Linked DNA regions of Bombyx mori. The protein of the gene in region 1 purifies or fractionates together with the protein of each later gene. This does not show direct contact. Links are inferred from orthologs where the notes say so. Each region holds a gene or a part of one and is shown in the gene's direction. Other genes may lie near its edges.

The links.
Region 2: the proteins of MIP18 family protein galla-2 (region 1) and threonylcarbamoyladenosine tRNA methylthiotransferase purify together in Homo sapiens (affinity purification with mass spectrometry; 3 studies listed by BioGRID and IntAct, with this or other methods). This does not show direct contact. The link is inferred for Bombyx mori from reciprocal best matches to the Homo sapiens genes CIAO2B and CDKAL1.
Region 3: the proteins of MIP18 family protein galla-2 (region 1) and general transcription and DNA repair factor IIH helicase subunit XPD purify together in Homo sapiens (affinity purification with western blotting; 3 studies listed by BioGRID and IntAct, with this or other methods). This does not show direct contact. The link is inferred for Bombyx mori from reciprocal best matches to the Homo sapiens genes CIAO2B and ERCC2.

Annotation. Positions count from the first base shown.
Region 1 is NC_085117.1:635,485-641,479, forward strand, and holds MIP18 family protein galla-2, read left to right. Parts: upstream 1-2,160; 5' UTR 2,161-2,285; coding exon 2,286-2,562; intron 2,563-3,392; coding exon 3,393-3,580; 3' UTR 3,581-4,457; downstream 4,458-5,995. Other genes in the region: intersectin-1, read right to left, coding at 665-787.
Region 2 is NC_085117.1:6,782,075-6,788,057, reverse strand, and holds the start of threonylcarbamoyladenosine tRNA methylthiotransferase, read left to right. Parts: upstream 1-2,233; 5' UTR 2,234-2,270; intron 2,271-3,830; exon of another isoform or gene 3,831-4,071; intron 4,072-5,590; exon of another isoform or gene 5,591-5,671; intron 5,672-5,817; exon of another isoform or gene 5,818-5,983. UniProt on the Homo sapiens protein: Catalyzes the methylthiolation of N6-threonylcarbamoyladenosine (t(6)A), leading to the formation of 2-methylthio-N6-threonylcarbamoyladenosine (ms(2)t(6)A) at position 37 in tRNAs that read codons beginning with adenine.
Region 3 is NC_085127.1:13,501,842-13,507,742, forward strand, and holds the start of general transcription and DNA repair factor IIH helicase subunit XPD, read left to right. Parts: upstream 1-2,151; 5' UTR 2,152-2,325; coding exon 2,326-2,330; intron 2,331-2,401; coding exon 2,402-2,501; intron 2,502-2,591; coding exon 2,592-2,689; intron 2,690-2,764; coding exon 2,765-2,921; intron 2,922-3,814; coding exon 3,815-3,917; intron 3,918-5,374; coding exon 5,375-5,505; intron 5,506-5,901. Other genes in the region: zinc finger protein ZFP2, read right to left, coding at 1-241, 1,068-1,202, 1,623-1,730. UniProt on the Homo sapiens protein: ATP-dependent 5'-3' DNA helicase. Component of the general transcription and DNA repair factor IIH (TFIIH) core complex, not absolutely essential for minimal transcription in vitro.

The DNA of each region.
Region 1 (5,995 bases):
AAGAGCAACGCCATCTGTTGTCGAATGGCAGAAGTGAATATCAAAGGAACTAGTAAACTCGAGAACGCTCGGGAAGTACAACGCCATCTATTGTCAGATAACGGAAACAGATATCCACACGACTCGACTTGCCAGAAATCGGAACTACTCGAAGCGAAACAGCGAACGGATCACCTGAAGCGAAGCGGAAAAAGCGAATTACGAAGTATTTTAGGTGTTTAATTTGTACTGTGGTTGTATTTGTGGAAATTTTATTTATCCCGAACCCCAGCGTGTAAAAATAATTTTAGAATTTCTCTAAAATAGAAGTAGCCTAATTTACTCTTTATTCCATCTCGTGTGTTTAGTGCGAGTGTTTTAACGTTCTCGATCGCGTAAAAGTTAACTCAAATTTATATGAAACGAAATAAATATGAAAAAAAAAAATTGTTTGGAGTTGGAACGTTTGCCTACGTTGGTCGCTAGGGGCGCTGTTCCATATCCATACAAATTTGAGTTAACTTTAGGCAGCAGTAGGGCAGCGGCTTGGCTCTGCCCCTGGCATTGCTGAAGTCCATGGGCGACGGTAACCACTCACCATCAGGTGGGCCGTATGCCCATCTGCCTACAAGGACAATAAAAAAAAAAAGTTCTAGATTTATAATAAATACGCAAATTAACTGACCTGTAACATGAATCTTTTAGCTTGTTCGCCCGTCAAATTTCCATTGACAGGTCCAAGGTTTCTAAAGTGCTCCGAGAACTTCGCATGCTCATGTGCTTGTATAGTCCACGGGTCCGCCATCATTTCTGAATTAAAGACGTTTCTTTGAACCTAAAAAAAGATATACCTCTTAGTATGTATGCAGTCTTCATTACAGGAAGCCTAAATTTATAATCATAGAAAAATCCTAATCCTTTTTCATTGTTTAATTTTCAACATTTTGATTGACATTAATGCAGTAATTTTGAGAATATTTTAATTTGGCATTGTATATTTAATGTTGTCTTTGGAAATCAAACAATGCTTCCTTTGGGAAGTTAATATTAGAACAGGTGAATATATCTATATTAAGTTATAATATTGAACTAGATAAACCATCAGATAATATCTTATTATGAGCATGTTTCTGCATATCTTGGTTTATCAAATTTAAAAAAAGAAATGCATATCACGGTTTAAGGTTTATGTTGTACTATTAAAAAAATTTGTTTGATTTTAAACAATAGACATTGCAACATGTTTTTGTTAACTTTTTCCCGACAATCAGGAGCGGTGTCTTTAGCCAAATTGTATGAATAGAATGTCTCCAATATGGTAGGTCATGATAAAGTACGAAAAAGCCTTGATTAATCAAGTGAAAAGTAGACTTCTAAATTTTTCCTATATTTTATCACTTCTCTAAATCTATTAAAGATGTACCTAAGTTCTATTTAAAATATTTGCTCGACGTACAGACGTGTGTCACATACAATAAGTAACTCAACATACAATAAGTATTAGAATACTACAATTGGTAGAGCAGTTCAAGATAATGTTCTTAATTTTTTAATATTGCTAGCTCGTTGTTTTATAACTCCGTGACCCGGATAAAGTTTAAAGATACCTTAAGCACTAATATTCAATACATTTTTTTGTTAAAATCAACGTTGTTCAATAAATTAATAATAAGTACTACTACTCTTTTGGTACCAACAGGCAGGGGGTGTGTCTGCGAACTAAAACAAATATTTAGGAATTAAATTCTAGGGAATTACATAATGTATTACTTACTTTAACTGTTGTTTGACCTAAGAGAATAGATTTAAGACTGATCCTCCTGAAAAAGGATCGAGTAAAACCCCTCAAAGTTCTAGATAAAGTATTGATTTTTTGATTGGGTGCAACTGTCAAAATCGAAATTTGGTTTTTGACAGTTAATTTTTTTATTGTGGCTCGCTCGGTTTGTGCATTAGCCAGTGTCAATTATTAATTATTTTGCCGTTTATAAATAATAAAAAACGAAGGAAACTGTCTATGTTGGCCATTATTATTCTGTGTAAGTAGATATGAATTACATTAGCAGCGTCTGTCATTTTTCATAAAATTAAGAATATAAACTAAAATAAGATATGACTTAAAGATCTTAGTTACCATGTCATAAAATTCCTAAAAAAAAGAGATAGAGATAGAAGTGAGTTATTATTTTGAGTAGAAAGGCTGTATGGGCTTAGATCCCCTTGCCTTTCATAATAAGGAAAAATTGTACCAAAAAATATATTTTGAGTAGAACGAATTGATATAATAAAAAGTTCGAACTTATAAAATGACCAAAACAGCGGATAACATCAACCCTCACATTTACGAGAAGGGTTCAGAACGGGAGATCACTTCTTCGGAACGCGACGAAGACTTGCAAGATGAATTTGATGATCGCGAAATATTTGATTTAATACGAAATATAAATGATCCTGAACACCCATTGACACTCGAGGAGCTCAGGGTGGTGGAAGAGAAGAATATAATCGTTAATAACGATGATAGTACTGTATTAGTCAATTTTACACCGACAATTCCCCATTGCAGTATGGCGACTCTGATAGGTACGTACTTTTTTTAGCATTAAAACCTATAGTTAATGAGAGAGTAACACACACATAACCAACGCACACCGATAATGGTGGAACAGCCAATATTTCTAAATTAATATTATCATACTAATGTTTTTTTATTGGCAAGCAAATAAACATTCATGCCCAGCCAACGAACAGCTTCCTTTTTTTAATTGCGTGGGTAGACGATCATACAGCCCGCTTGGTGGGGAGTAGCTACAGTCCCTCATGGAAGGTAGCAATTTCAGGGGTGCAACTAAAGTGCAGTCTACCGCTGACCATTTTCAATGGATTGATAATGGGTTACCGTAAACTCTTATCTCTCATCTCTCATCTTAGGCAGTTGAAAAGATCTCGCCAGTTATATTTCAAAATTGTCACCTCTCTTTCGGCCAATATGATCGAAGAACTCAAATATCTTCCTGAAGCAGACGATAGAAAGCCTTTGGATATTGAGCTGTTTTAATATGGATGCGTTAGTCTGATATTTTGTCCACGGAATAGTCACTACTGTCTAGCCTATTCCCAATTTGAACCATTATTGTTTTTGCTTAAGAGAGAGTAATTTTAAAATAGGGCTCAAACTTCGAGTTGCTCAAACTTCGAGTTCAGGACTCAAGATGGGTGGCAGTTGTCCCAATGTGATGTCCACGGACATCTGTAATGGCTATAAACTATGAGAGCTGTGAGCTTGTTCATTCCCCTAGTGCAGTTAAACACTTTTGTAGATAATCTGTTCTGTTATAGTTCTAATTAAAGTTGTGAAGCTTCCGGAAAAAAGTACTGCAAGCTTAATTAATGAGATTTGATTTTTATTTCAGGTCTTTCAATACGAGTTCAACTACTCCGAGCTCTGCCAAGCCGTTTCAAAGTGACCGTACAAGTATCGGAGGGCTCTCACGCTTCCGAACATGCGGTCAACAAACAGTTAGCGGACAAGGAAAGAGTTGCTGCAGCTTTAGAGAACAATAATCTACTGCAAATCATCAATCAATGCATAGCTGTTTAATTGATAGGGATAAATTTATTTGTAAGCCAGATTATCAGTGGCTTTGGTCCAAAGAATGCTGGTACGGCATCTGATTCACTTGCATATACATTTGAGGTTATAGACGTATCATTCAATTATCGATCTTAAAATATGATGCCTATGACTTCATTGGTCACTTGCTGGTACCTGTTTTGAAGGAGACAGCTTATATTATTTATTATTGCTTATAAATACTTGAATGCTTAATGGGTTCCTGTAGGACCTCTTGTGAGTCCGCGCGGGTGGGTACCACCGCCCCGCCTATTTCTGCCGTGAAGCAGTAATGCGTTTCGGTTTGAAAGGTGGGGCAGCCGTTGTAACTATACTGAGATCTTAGAACTTATATCTGAAGGTGTGTGGCGCATTTACATTGTAGATGTTCCAGTAACCACTTAACACCAGGTGGGCTGTGAGCTCGTCCACACATCTAGGCAATAAGAGATAAATAAACATTAAATACCTATTTATTTTGTATTTTAGCAGGAAATAAAAGGCTTTCTATTTTATATTTATTTATTGCTCATATGGGTCAAACTTGCCGGCAATGGTATTTAATCTGTCACTAGAGCCCAGGGAAATCATGAAAGTGAAATTCATTACTGCTTGACGTCAGAAAAATATAGTGATCTAGACTTGCAATTGTGTTTTTTTTTTTTTTTTGTCCTACCACCATTAATATTTAGACCTTGTGTTCCATGAATAATGATAATATACACTATGTTTTCAATGTGCTCTGATATCTGTCTACTGGATAATAAAAGTTGATAGCCTAAATAATCATAGAAAAAAAAATGTATATTTTTAGTGAATTTATGTAAAAATATTTTGTATAGTTAATAAATAAATAAATTATGTATGTGGTTTGTTATTTACTGCTCGTATTCGCGGGAAATTTGCACTCAAAAAGTCAAACTCTTATTTTATAAACACTTATATTTTTGTGGTATTCGGATTTTAACAAGAAAACTGAGAAAACTAAGCTAGGAACTAGATCAGCCTTTCTCAAAGTGGGCGATAACGCCCGCTTGTCGCTGTAGGCATAAAGGATGGTAAGAGACCCAGAAAAAAAATGGGGGCGTTGTGTAGAGGCTTGGGAAGCGATTTGTAATTTCGTCTTGGAGGACTTAGACAACGACCGAGGTCTTTCTATAGTGGTTAAGTAGGTGAAAAAACGGGGGCGCTAAAAAATAATTTATTCTCAAAGTGTACTGTAGACAAAATATGTTTGAGAACCCCTGGACTAGACGATACTAATTATATTAATATTATGTATACGAAGATATTATTTTTATTTTAAATGCTAAATCGGCGCGAGAATGACTGACGTCAGGTGACACCTGCGCGTTCAGGAATAAAATTTCGATCGTGCCCAATGACTAGGGTTATAGTATAGTATGTTATTTCGGATAATTTTGGCCTATACTTTATGTGAACAATTACGAACAATACTGGTGTTAGGACCTCTTGTGAGTCCGCGCGGGTAGGCACCACCACCCTGCCTATTTCTGCCGTGCAGCTGTAATGCGTTTCAGTTTGAAGGGTGGGGCAGCCGTTGTAACTATACTTGAGACCTTAGAACTTATATCTCAAGATAGGTGGCGACATTTACCGCTCCGGTAACCACTTAACACCAGGTGGGCCGTGAACTCGTACACCCACCTAAGCAATAAATTAATAAAAAGTTGCCCGAGCGCCTCCGAAGGAGACCTAACAACTCAAGAGCAGCTGCTCCGCGAATGCATCTACTACCGGATCGGAATCGCGACCCGCTCAAAATATACAGCGAGAAACTCAGCTGGGCTGGTGTATGGATATGGATTAGGTTGCGCAGTTACCAGAGCCCCTAAACCTGCTGCTAATGTTAGAGCTAAAGGCGTCTAATGCAAGGGTTATTGGATCTGATGGATCCGTAAGGACGCGTCTAGGGCGTCGACGGTGACTGGCTCCTGCATAATCAGCATTCGGGAAGCAGTCAGCGGCGGTCACGATTGGGCGATTAACATGACGCATAGCTTCATCGAAGTGCAGTTCCGACGCTGACTTCATGTTTTCGAATCGTTACGAGGTCCAGGTCGTCGTGTATCTCGGCGTTCCTTACTAACCAAGCAATATGTCTGTGTGCTTAGTGCGAGTTTTTTAACGTTCTCGATAGCGTAAAAGTTAACTCATATTTGTATGGAATGGGATCGTTTGCCTATGTTTGCCGCTATGTGGGGCGCTGTTCCAAATGCATACAAAATTGGGCCAACTTTTACGCTATCGAGAACTTTAATAGACTCGCACTAAGCACACTGAAGTAGATACGACTTTTTTTTTTGTTGCCCTTGTAGGCAGACGAGCACACGGCCCACATGATGGTGAGTAGTTACCGTCGCCCATGGACTTCAGCAATGC
Region 2 (5,983 bases), about 6.1 Mb from region 1:
AAACCTAGCATTTAAAAAATCGCCTGTAATACAAACCACCAAAATTGGACAGTCAAACTTCTAAGCAATGATACCGGCTTGGTAACAGATCTTCTCTTTAGTTTAAAAAACATTTACCACCTGGTTTCCTACAAGCCCTTATAATAATAAAACACAACCAAAGTATCGACTATAGATGCTGCACTAAGACACTTTGGGTTGTGCGTTACGAGTGATTGATGGGTTTCGTTAGCTGTGAGAATGGGATTCATAGTAAACAATAAACGGTTCACATTGTATTTTAAGGTTTCTGATGCAGCGGCACACTCAAATACTCGAAGTTTACATTTCAGTATAGAATTTCATTTAATCAACGTAATCTATTATGTTTTCTTTTAGATTGTAGATGAGTTTATGGACTATGAATGGTCTTCGTAGGGTGTTTAATGCGTCATTAGCTAAAGTTAGGTTGAGGTTATCTTAGCGTATACATCCCGAGATGTCAGCCCAGCTTAAGATAAGGAGCCAAAATAGGGCTAAAAAAATTTTTCAAATCCAACGATCTCAAACTCAAAACATTTTCGCCTCCGGAACGACAGATACGTATTAACAATTACATACATCCAGATTCAAGATTTGAAATCGTCGTGGCCTAAAAAATAAGACGTCCGGTGCATTCGTGTCGAGCGATGCACCGGTGTTCGAATCCCAGGCGGGTACCAATTTTTCTAATGAAATACGTACTCAACAAATGTCCACGATTTACTTTCACGGTGAAGGAATAACATCGTGTAATAAAAATCAAACCGCAAAATTATAATTTGCGTAATAACTGGTGGTCGGACCTCTAGTGAGTCTGCGCGGGTAGGTACTACCACCCTGCCTATTTCTGCCGTGAAGCAGTAATGCGTTTCCGTTTGAAGAGTGGGGCAGCCATTGTAACTATACTTGAGACCTTAGAACTTATATCTCAAGGTGGGTGGCGCATTAACGTTGTAGATGTCTATGGGCTCCGGTAACCACTTCACACCAGGTGGGCTTTGAGCTCGTCTACCCACCTAAGCAATAAATAAAAAATCCTAAAAAAAAACCCGAGAGTTCGACCTTCAACGGGCGCATTCACATGCAGGAGAAATGCCACCCCAAAAATTGAACCAGGTCTATACGTGTACAAACTTTATATACACCCTGTAGTATGTTTCGAGACAATGCGCAAAAAAACATTATAATATATTGTAAATACTAATGCTAATTAGTTGAGACAAAAGGATTTTTTTTTAATTTTACGCAAGCGTTAGTTATTACCGAGTTCACTTTTCTAGAAAAAAAACCTTGCACTCTAGCTTGATCACGAATAAAATAACACCTCTTACGACTATGCGTATGTAAGAGTGTACTTTCTTTGAAAAACAAAAAGCAATTTTTGCTCTCAATAAAATCAATGATTCAAGCTGTGTTTTTATTTATAACAAAACCCTCATCCCCACACTTTATTTCATTATATTTACGAGTTTCATGTCACCAAATAAATTTTACTCCATGAATGGCATTAAAAAAATTACGCGCCAAAATAGGCTTCAAATGTGTGTGTTTTTTATAATAATGGCCGCGTCACGGGTCCCGCGCGCGGTGTGAGGATATCCAAGCCGACAAGCGTGCGTGGCGCGTGGATCACACACCTGTTTATTGTTATGTATTATTATTAGTCAAAAACGGTAGACTGACGATCCCACTCAACCTTCACCAGTGACAATAATATATGTTTTCGCTTTACTGAGCAACTGCGGCGTGAATGCTACGGAGATGTTTCACGTAAGAATCTAAATATGAAGAACCAATGAAATACGAACGCGATAAACTCAGTTATTAATTGGAATTTTATCTTGTTCGGTCATATTTAAAAATATACATATATACCTACCTGTTTATTTAGTTATTTAATGGGGCAGAATTAGGATGACGATGATGAACGCTCTTTTTTTAAATATAATATTCATAGTGTATTTTTATAGCCTATTGGATGTTAATGTTAAATCTTGTTATTTTTATGGGTTCTTCTTGTTTTGTAGCTAAATAGTGGCAGCGACTGACATCGCCAGACACGGCTTATTTCTTCAACCACCTATATGGGGTCTAACTTTGTCTTCTATCGTGAGAAATAAAATTGTAATAAAAATTATCGCTATTTAATCCGGTTTTAACCAAATTCACCCTCGTTTGTCATCTGAGTCAGATACAGTAATTTTCTTTTTGCATTAGTAATCACATGCGCTATCGCTACTTGTGCTAAGGTAAGCTTTAAAAATATAATTACTGATTAGCAAGTATATTAGTGTACAACGTCTCATCAGTAATAACTATTCTACGTGCCCAAATATTTGCCCCTTGGAATATGCTCCTCCTTAATACGCGTAAAAATTAAACCAAACAAACTTTCAAATATTTTTTTTTATTTCATATACTTGTTTAACCACAGCTACACTTTCGTTAATGTAGGAATAAAATCTTTCGCCTTTTTTTTAAAATTTGGTTTTGTTCTGCGCTGACAACGGGAATGCAAACTTTAAGCTTATTAAAATTAAATAAAAATATTAAGTATGGATGTTACAATAATGTTGCTATTATTGCCCTTATCTAAATTCCAATATTTTGTTCAAAAGCTGCCTGCCATTAATAATAATATATTTAACGGATTTTTATCGGTAAAACACCGGAAGTAAATATAAATAGTTACAATTTATGATGTATTTCAATTCATTACCGAATTGGCTTAATGATTAAGGAAATGATTACTTACTAATTGTGTGATGTGGAACGTTTCTTAATGTCATTATTATTGTTAGCAGTAAAAAAATTTGGGGCAAGATTTTTTTTATATTATAGGAAAGCTAGGTCATGCCCGTCCGATGCGAAGCGAGTATCCGAGTCTAACTAACTTATGTACTTATACCTTTCCTACTAAATTCTGGATGCACTAAGCAATTTCAAAGTTTTGCTACTTGTTAGTCGTCTTTGGATGGAAAGTAGACGGAAGAAGACCACGAGGTAGTAGGCAAATGGCGTGGAATGATCCGAAATAAACTCTTGTTGCGAGGAGGTGGTCACGACCCTCAGTATCGAGGAAACCGAAGCGAGAAGAAGAAGTCGTCTTTTGATCTCTGAAGGTGAACAGTGTAATGTATTGTGTGTGATTAAATAGGCTAAACACAACGATAAGAAACACCCGGCCCGTCAAGCATTTCTAAAATTGAATTTATTTTATCGACTTTCTCCCATCAATCCGTTCTTCTGTTCTTTTTTTGTTCGTTTTTATTTTTAAATTTGTATATAAAATCTTTACTTTTTTTGTTTTATATTTTTTTATTCTAATATTTATTATAAATAAAGTTTCGTAAATTATTAATAAGCATTAATCTATGCCCGCAAAAAAAAAACAATTTAAATTGGCCCGTTGATTAAAAATGTTGCTTACCCCTGGGCTAACATAATCCGTACGCATTAAACTAAATAATGTAATGCCGGTAGATTTTAATAAATCAAATAATTTTAATTCAATAAATACCTAATAATGTATTTATTTTAATATACTGCGTTACGTTCGTGCATTGTATTCCGATTTACATTTTTTTATATTCACCGAGGGTAAATATGTATATATGTAGATATAGTTTACAAATAATGATAGGCTCATATGAATCAGGTTACGAATTGTTTACTAATTAACTACTTACAAATATTTTCCAAGGCACATTACTCAATATTAAAATTTTGTTTTTCATAATAATCAAACCAGTAATTTACATATGCTATTTCACAACAGTACCTAATATAAATATCAGATGTGGACTTACCAAGGAATTTGGATATCACAAACAAACAGAACGAAAAATTATATAGTCATTCACAAAGTTCACAAAATAAATCACGTTCAAAGTTTGATCAGTCACGTCGTAGGAAATTAACACCACCACACGTCCATCCACAACAGGCAACCCAGCGCTACTGGCGCCATCGACGAGGAACAGCGAAAACTATCGTTTGAATTTCGAATTCATTTTCGACGTTCCTTCCACGCTTGTTAAAATTTAATGTAGTACATTTTTGTAATTCAGAAAAAGGCGCACTCATATGGAACGAAGTTTATAAGATTTCTACTTAATTTTCATGATTTTATTCGTATTATTTAAGGTTCCGTAACGACTAAAAATTATTATTCAAGCTGGTGCTCCCTGTTTGAACAGCTTCATGCTAGGATTTTCTCGTGTTATGGGTGCCAGAAACATATAAGAGTACCAAAAAAATAAGTACACTTAGGCCCCGGACACCGCATAAGCAGTTACTAGAGTGCACAGATATCTCAATGTGAATGCCACCACCACCCACCTTGAAAGATGATGAAAAAATCTCAATTATATTATATAATGGTGTGTTATTCAGTGAGGAGGGGGGCGTCCTTGGATGGACTATGTGAAAGAAGATATGCCAGAGAAGGGTATGAATACAGAGTTGACGTATAATAGCCCGAATTAAAAAAATAATCCCACTGTAGGATATGGAGAAGAAGAATTGCTCCCCCATATTTCAAACCAGGAAGCACGATTATTTGGTGATACAAGTACGTGGTATAGTGGAGCCTAATGGTGTGGGCTCACAATACGCCCTACCGCCACCACCATTAGTATAAAACAAGCTATTATATTACTATTCGTGACTCGAGAACGGTTGCCTCGGATCCTGTATAAGGCGGTGTTGTAAATCGAAATCCGAATCGACAACTTCCTCTTGAAGTCTGTGATTAACAATCTCTAATCAATTGTAACAGTGGCATGACAGAAAAACAAAAACAGTATGTAGGAGCAAATCTATCTTTAGATAAGCCTTCATTATGGTTTCCAAATCACTTCTTTTTCCATAAAAGAGCCGTAAAATGTTCAGTGACATATGTTTACCGGAAAAATATACGTTTAGCATTCATTCCAAATACGGAACCCGTTACTGTGCGTATAGTGATACACACTTGACCAATTTTTCTGTTGCGAATGAAAATGGCTTGTTTACAAACTCTTTTCTCGGTCCTATTATCCACTGTTTAATTTAAAACGATAACAAATAATTTAATACGATCCGACTTTACTATTAATTACAAATTAATGTACTGTTAAATTACCAAATTTTGAATCTTTATTTTTCGCAATAATGAAATAACACTTTTTAAACATAATATTATTATCCGCAACACGCTTCGTCAGATTATAGAAACAGAGTTATCAGCAACATGCTTCGTCAAATTGTTAAATTGTCATCGACTGTTAAATTGTCATCGACTGACAAAAATGGTCTGTACTAAAATTACAAGAGCTTCTTACCCTACGGTTTTAGTTGCCTTACCTGCGTTTGCCACTATTAAATGACAGCTGTACGACCTATTGTTCGTAGTAAACTACCCTTTATAACTATTTGACAATGAAATTTAGTTTTTATGTCATATGGTGTTAGCTTCATTTTAGTTCGATCGTAGTTTTAAAGTAACATAACTTTTTGGATTTTAACACTCACATAAAAAACTACATGATGCGTCGAGAATTTCGTTAAATTAAACAAATTTTATCAGAAGCTTTTAATTTGACCTTCATTATTTAAAAAAAATTAAAACTGATTATTTAATACTTACATATTTTGCAAATTAAAAGTGGTAGGTACTTAGTAATTATTAATGCGAATTAAAGTAGTTCGTTTTAAAATATTGTTTTTCTTTAAAGTGGAATCTATTTGTCACTTTAATAATTATTGCAATATATGAGTAATAGGTAACAATATGATTTCCTATTCTGTTCTCAGGCACAAAATTTTCAAACTGCAACTCCATACAATCGATAGGATTGTACATGCACTTGAGGTTTAATGCTTACAGCTTCATCGAGCGAAAGGTACATACTTTAAATAATGTAAGAAATGGGATGGCAGAACCATTTCACTTTGCGAAGGAGATTTGATGAACAAAACG
Region 3 (5,901 bases), on another chromosome or scaffold:
AGTCACTATAATCTTCATCGCTTAGGTATTCAATATTGCAATAGTCTTCTGAATTTGTTTCATTTATTTCTAATGAGTCTTCATTTTCTATAATAATATTATCATCAGCTGGAATGTCCAAATATTCTGTAGGAGAATCGTTGTGGAATAAGTCTGTTGGTGTGACATCCGTTTCAGTATAAATAGTCAATGATTTTTTCAAATAGTGTTTATCTAATGATTTTACTGATTCAATATTGACCTGCAAAACATTCTTGCTCTTTTTATTTGTTTTAATTATAAACTAGCTCCTGGTGTTAGGTGGTAATGGTAGTCCATAGACATAACAAACAGCATGAAAGCCATCAACTATCTTGAAACATGATGATGCTTTTTTTATTGCTTAGTTAGAGGTAGAACCTCTTGTGAGTCGGCACTGGTAGGTACCATCACCCTGACTATATCTGCCGTGAAGCAGTAATGTGTTTCGGTCTGAAGGGTAGGGCAGTCGTTGTAACTATACTGAGACCTTAGAACTCATATCTCAAGGCGGGTGGCGCATTTACGTTGTAGATGTCTATAAGCTCCGGCAACCACACCAGGTGGGCCTTAAGCTCATCCACCAATCTAAGCTATAACAAAAAAAAGTTTAATGAATTCATTACAAGCAGTTTGTTTACTGTTAAAAGATCTCTAGAAAACACAAAAGGAAGGAAGGTTTTTAGTATGTGTGGATTTATTTATTATTTTATCACGTAATTAATCCTTGGAAATCTTTTGTGAGCATGTGTTAGGATTGTTTCCATAATATGACACCAATTCAGTTAGAATAATCAGCATGATTTGACACACATTTTTTAATAATTTATATTTAATATTTCATAATTGAATAATTTTATGTAATTTAGTTTTGTCTAGTTTCCCAATTTTAGATCTACAGTTAGTTAAACTTATATTTGATTATATTTTTGTTCAGCAGAGAGAAAAAGCTAGAACAAATCATAGCACTAACTTCTACGATCCAAAGAATATGCATCCTATACTTATAAAAATGTCTAACAAAAGGTTTGAACAAAATCTAATATTACCTTTTTACCAGACTTTAGTATTTTATAAAATAAGGATTGTGCAACTAAGCATTTACTTTTAAATCTGCTATACTTTTTCAATAATCCTGCACAAAGATAACATACACACTGTGGTAGATCTGGAGAACATTCGGGCTGCAAAATAAATAAAAACATCGTCAATTAACAAAGTATGAATAAACAATTATAATCCCAAAGCAATTAAGCAGCAAGCAGCGAATCCAAATAAGGTATTATAATTTTTTTTTTTTAAATACACATGTTTTTGTTTTGATACACGTTTTTTTATTGAAAATTGGAACAATGTAGGACAGTAAAAAAAAGGCCGACCTATCTACTAGTTTATAATTATTCGTGCTCTACGGGATTTGAGGTTAGAATTGTTGTTTTTATCTTAGAAGTTGCATTTACTTTTCACGGAATATCATTATTATGACAAACTGTTTAATTCACTATTAAATATTACAAAAACCAAATTCAATTCCTATACAAACTAGAACCCGGTCAAACGTTACAAATCCAACACAATAGCTTTTCCGAATGAATGTAACTTACGTTAACTTCTACGATATCTTCATAATAGGTCTCCAATGGATAAAACTTTAAACTGTACATTTTAACATTAAATTCCAGACAGATCCGACAGACTGTATCGCTCCCCATAATTATCAAAATAACAATGTTTTGCTATGTTAATTTTGTCATTTTGTCACTATTTGTGTTTTTCTTTCTTACACTTTTTTTAAGTGATTTTATGACCTGGTAACTAAGACCTTTAGGTCATGTCTTATTTTAATTTATAGGTATTCTTATTTTTATGAAAAATGATAATATGGAGTGAAATGAAATCAAGATGATAATTTTGAGACATTAATCAACTAGGATGAAATAAAATGAAATGAGATGAGATGATATGGGATGAAATATAATCGCAGTAAAATGGTGGTCATTTATCATTTCATTTCATTTCACTCCATTTTATCATTTTTCATAAAAATAATTATATAAATTAAAATAAGACATGACTTAAAAGTCTTAGTTACCAGGTTATAAAAGCCATTAAAAATTATTAGTTTTTAATGTAGGTAGTCTGCAAGTAATAGTGTTCTGTGGTAGTCTGTCACATAGATTATACACTTAATATATGTCTGTCACTCGAATCAAAACAAAGTGGTTATTTAATTAATTCATGTATTGCTTGACTTGTTTGTTTATAATTATTTAAAATAGATAGTTGTGAAGGGCTTATATTTTCACCATGAAGTATGTCACTAATAAATGAATATATAAAAAAAACAAATACCATTAATTTAATAATCTCATTACTTTTTCAGGCTAACTGTCGATGGTTTATTGGTCTATTTCCCATACGATTACATTTATCCGGAACAGTATGCTTATATGTTAGAGTTAAAACGTGCATTGGACGCTAAGGTATTCAAAATCTGTATTAAAAAAGGAATCTACTTTAAACAAAATCCTAAAATTTTAAGGTTATGTTGTGTATCTTGCTTGAACTTGTAGGGACATGGATTGTTAGAGATGCCTTCCGGAACCGGAAAAACCATATCGCTCCTGTCTTTAATCGTAGCTTATATGATACAGAACCCTCATCATGTCAGGTAATTAAAATGAACAAGAACATTAATGATTAAAATTAATTAATTATAAAAAAATATGTACATATACTTTTTCAGAAAGTTAATCTACTGCTCTCGTACAGTGCCAGAAATAGAAAAAGTGTTAGAAGAACTAAAGAATTTATTCAATTATTATGAGAAATCTCAAGGAGAGAAACCGAACTTAACAGGAGTTGTTCTTAGTTCCAGGAAAAACTTATGTATTCATCCTGATGTAAGTTTCAATTTATAAGTCTGAACAAAAAATATTGTGCATTTGTTATCTATGATTAGTACTATATTTTTGGAATTATCTTCTTCTTTCTTTTCTATTTCCCTAGGCCGTGATGTAGGGCTCAAATAAAATTCTTCCATTTATATCAGTCTTGGGCAGTCTGTTCTAGCTCCTCTCATGTCATGTCCAAAACGCCCAGTTTCTGCTCTACTTTTGTTTTGGAATTATTTTAAAACAAATTTAAGTAACAAATGCATAGACAAAAAATATTAGAACCTTCCACCCTTGACCCATGCTCTATTGATTTGTGATTGCTAAATTTCAGTATCAGGATACTGGATGAAACACTTGTACGTAATTTAATACCTAAAAAGTAGGTGCCATGTTTGTGGCTTTATCATTCTGCTAGAAAAACATAAATGATCATAAATTGTTTTCTCCTTTTGAGTGCTCCTCAAATAGTAATCAGCCTAAGGAACTAGGGCATAGATTCCAGTTTGAAACAGCAAGATAAATAAAAAAAATTGAAATTTTTAACTAATGAAGATTTACAATATATAACAAAAAGAGACCTCATGAAACTTATTAAAATAATTAAAAAATACTTCATTCCCGAAGCTCTTATTTCATAAGCCCTTGATTTATTTATTTCAAAGAGAAACAAAAGCACTACAAAATTTTATTAAAGAACTTAAGTTAATTATTAAACTTATAGGTGACTTTTGGCATCATGGGAAATTTCCACCAAATAAATAATGTGGACCACATAATAATATGATTACCTCTCATCACTTCATTTGAAAATAATGCGTAGAGAAAATGCATACTTAAATTTATTTTATTAATAGGATATTATCGAAAAATTAATCTATTGTAATTTTTTTTAATAACAGGTATCAAGAGAAAGAGAAGGGAAGCTTGTAGATGGCAAATGTCATGCCCTCACAGCAAGCTATATACGAGACAGGCATGAACGTGATAGCTCTGTGCCAATTTGTAAGTTCTCGCCTTGATATGAGTTGTCTATTATCAAAGGTGGCAATCTGTGCATTTGGACAAAAAAATTTTATTGATATGTTTTTTTTATTTTTTTTTTATTGCCTTTGTAGGCAGACGGGCATACGGCCCACCTGATGGTGAGTGGTTACCGTCGCCCATGGACTTCAGCAATGCCAGGGGCAGAGCCAAGCCGCTGCCTACCGCTTAATACTCTCCACAAGCCTCGTTTGAAGAAGGACATGTCATAGCGCTCGGGAAACACCATGGAGGGGAGCTCATTCCATAGCCGGATGGTACGTGGCAAAAAAGATCTCTGGAAACGCACTGTGGATGATCGCAGTGGCTCCAGGTTGTATGGATGAACTCTACTCCGGTGGCGGGCGGTGCGATGGTAAAAACGAGATGCTGGTATCATCTCGAACAATTCCTCAGAGCACTCCCCATGGAACATACGGTACAAAATACAGAGGGAACCGAAGTCCCTCCGCAGACCCAGAGGCTCCTATTGATATGTCAATACAGATTGATTTGAATATAATCGTCTCCTTCAAAGAATACGGTTCAAAACCTGCATTAAATAAAGGTTAATACTTAACCTGTTATTTATCTAAGATGTCGTTCAGAAGAGTTTTGTGACTGCCAATGGAATACAAAGTCAATAATTCGTTTTTCTGATTTACCAATCATTGTCCAAAAGTCAGATTGCCGGCTTTGATAATAGTCGACTCATATAAAATATGTCTAAATTAATCTGTTTTTTTATTTTTATTTATTGCTTAGATGGGTGGATGAGCTCACAGTCCACCTGGTGTTAAGTGGTTACTGGAGCCCATAGACATCTACAACGTAAATGCGCCACCCACCTTGAGATAAAAGTTCTAAGGTCTCAGTATAGTTACAATGACTGCCCCACCCTTCAAACCGAAATGCATTACTGCTTCACGGCAGAAATAGGCGGGGTGGTGGTACCTACCCGCGCGGACTCACAAGAGGTCCTACCACCAGTAGTTACGCAAATTATAATTTTGCGGTTTTTATTTTTATTACACAATGTTATTTCTTTCACCTTGGAAGTTAATCGAGAACATTTGCTTATTATGTATTTTATTAGTATATGAAAGACTTGCATAGATATAAGATATTTACAACCGCTATATGTAGCAACTTGATTATTTATTTATTTCACATGCCGATAAGCATCAGTCACTGCTCAGTATCCTGTGGGCTGTACCTGCTACTGTGGATAAAAAAACTATTACTGTATTTTGTCATTGTGACCCCATAGACACAGGCTTAAATAGCTATGTATCTTGAGATAATACAACTTCACAATGGAGCTGCATTATGTAACACGTTGGTAAAGGTTATATGCCTGGGGATCTTTGGATAAATATTCAGATCCTCTTAAACTCATATTTGGTTAGACTTGTAGAACTAAATGAATATTATTGCAGGTCAATTTTATGAGGGCTTCAATCGTGAAGGCAAAGAGTCTATGTTACCATACGGAGTCTACACTATGGATGATATGAAACAATATGGTGCTGATAGAAATTGGTGTCCATATTTTCTTGCGAGATTTGCTGTGAGCAGTAATTTAATTAATTTTTAATTTGTTTTGAATTTTTTTATCATTTACTTTTATTTTACACTGTCATAGTTCGTGTTGTGATGAGGTAACAAAAAACCATAGACTTTGATTCTTATTGGATTAGACACCCACGATGTGAATATAAATATAATTTTTTTTTATATTAATTAGTTACCAAACATATATTTGGTTACAATTTCTACTAATCTCTCTTTAATTAATTAATTAAATTTCTCTTTAATTAATTGACGTTTTTAGTATTGTATTTCAATAAAAAATAATTGTCATATTTCATCTATTCACTGAAAGCTATCTACTACTACTTAAGCCAGCATCAATTTCAATAAGATGGTAGTATTTTTATCCTGCACAGGTGAGGACTATCGTTGT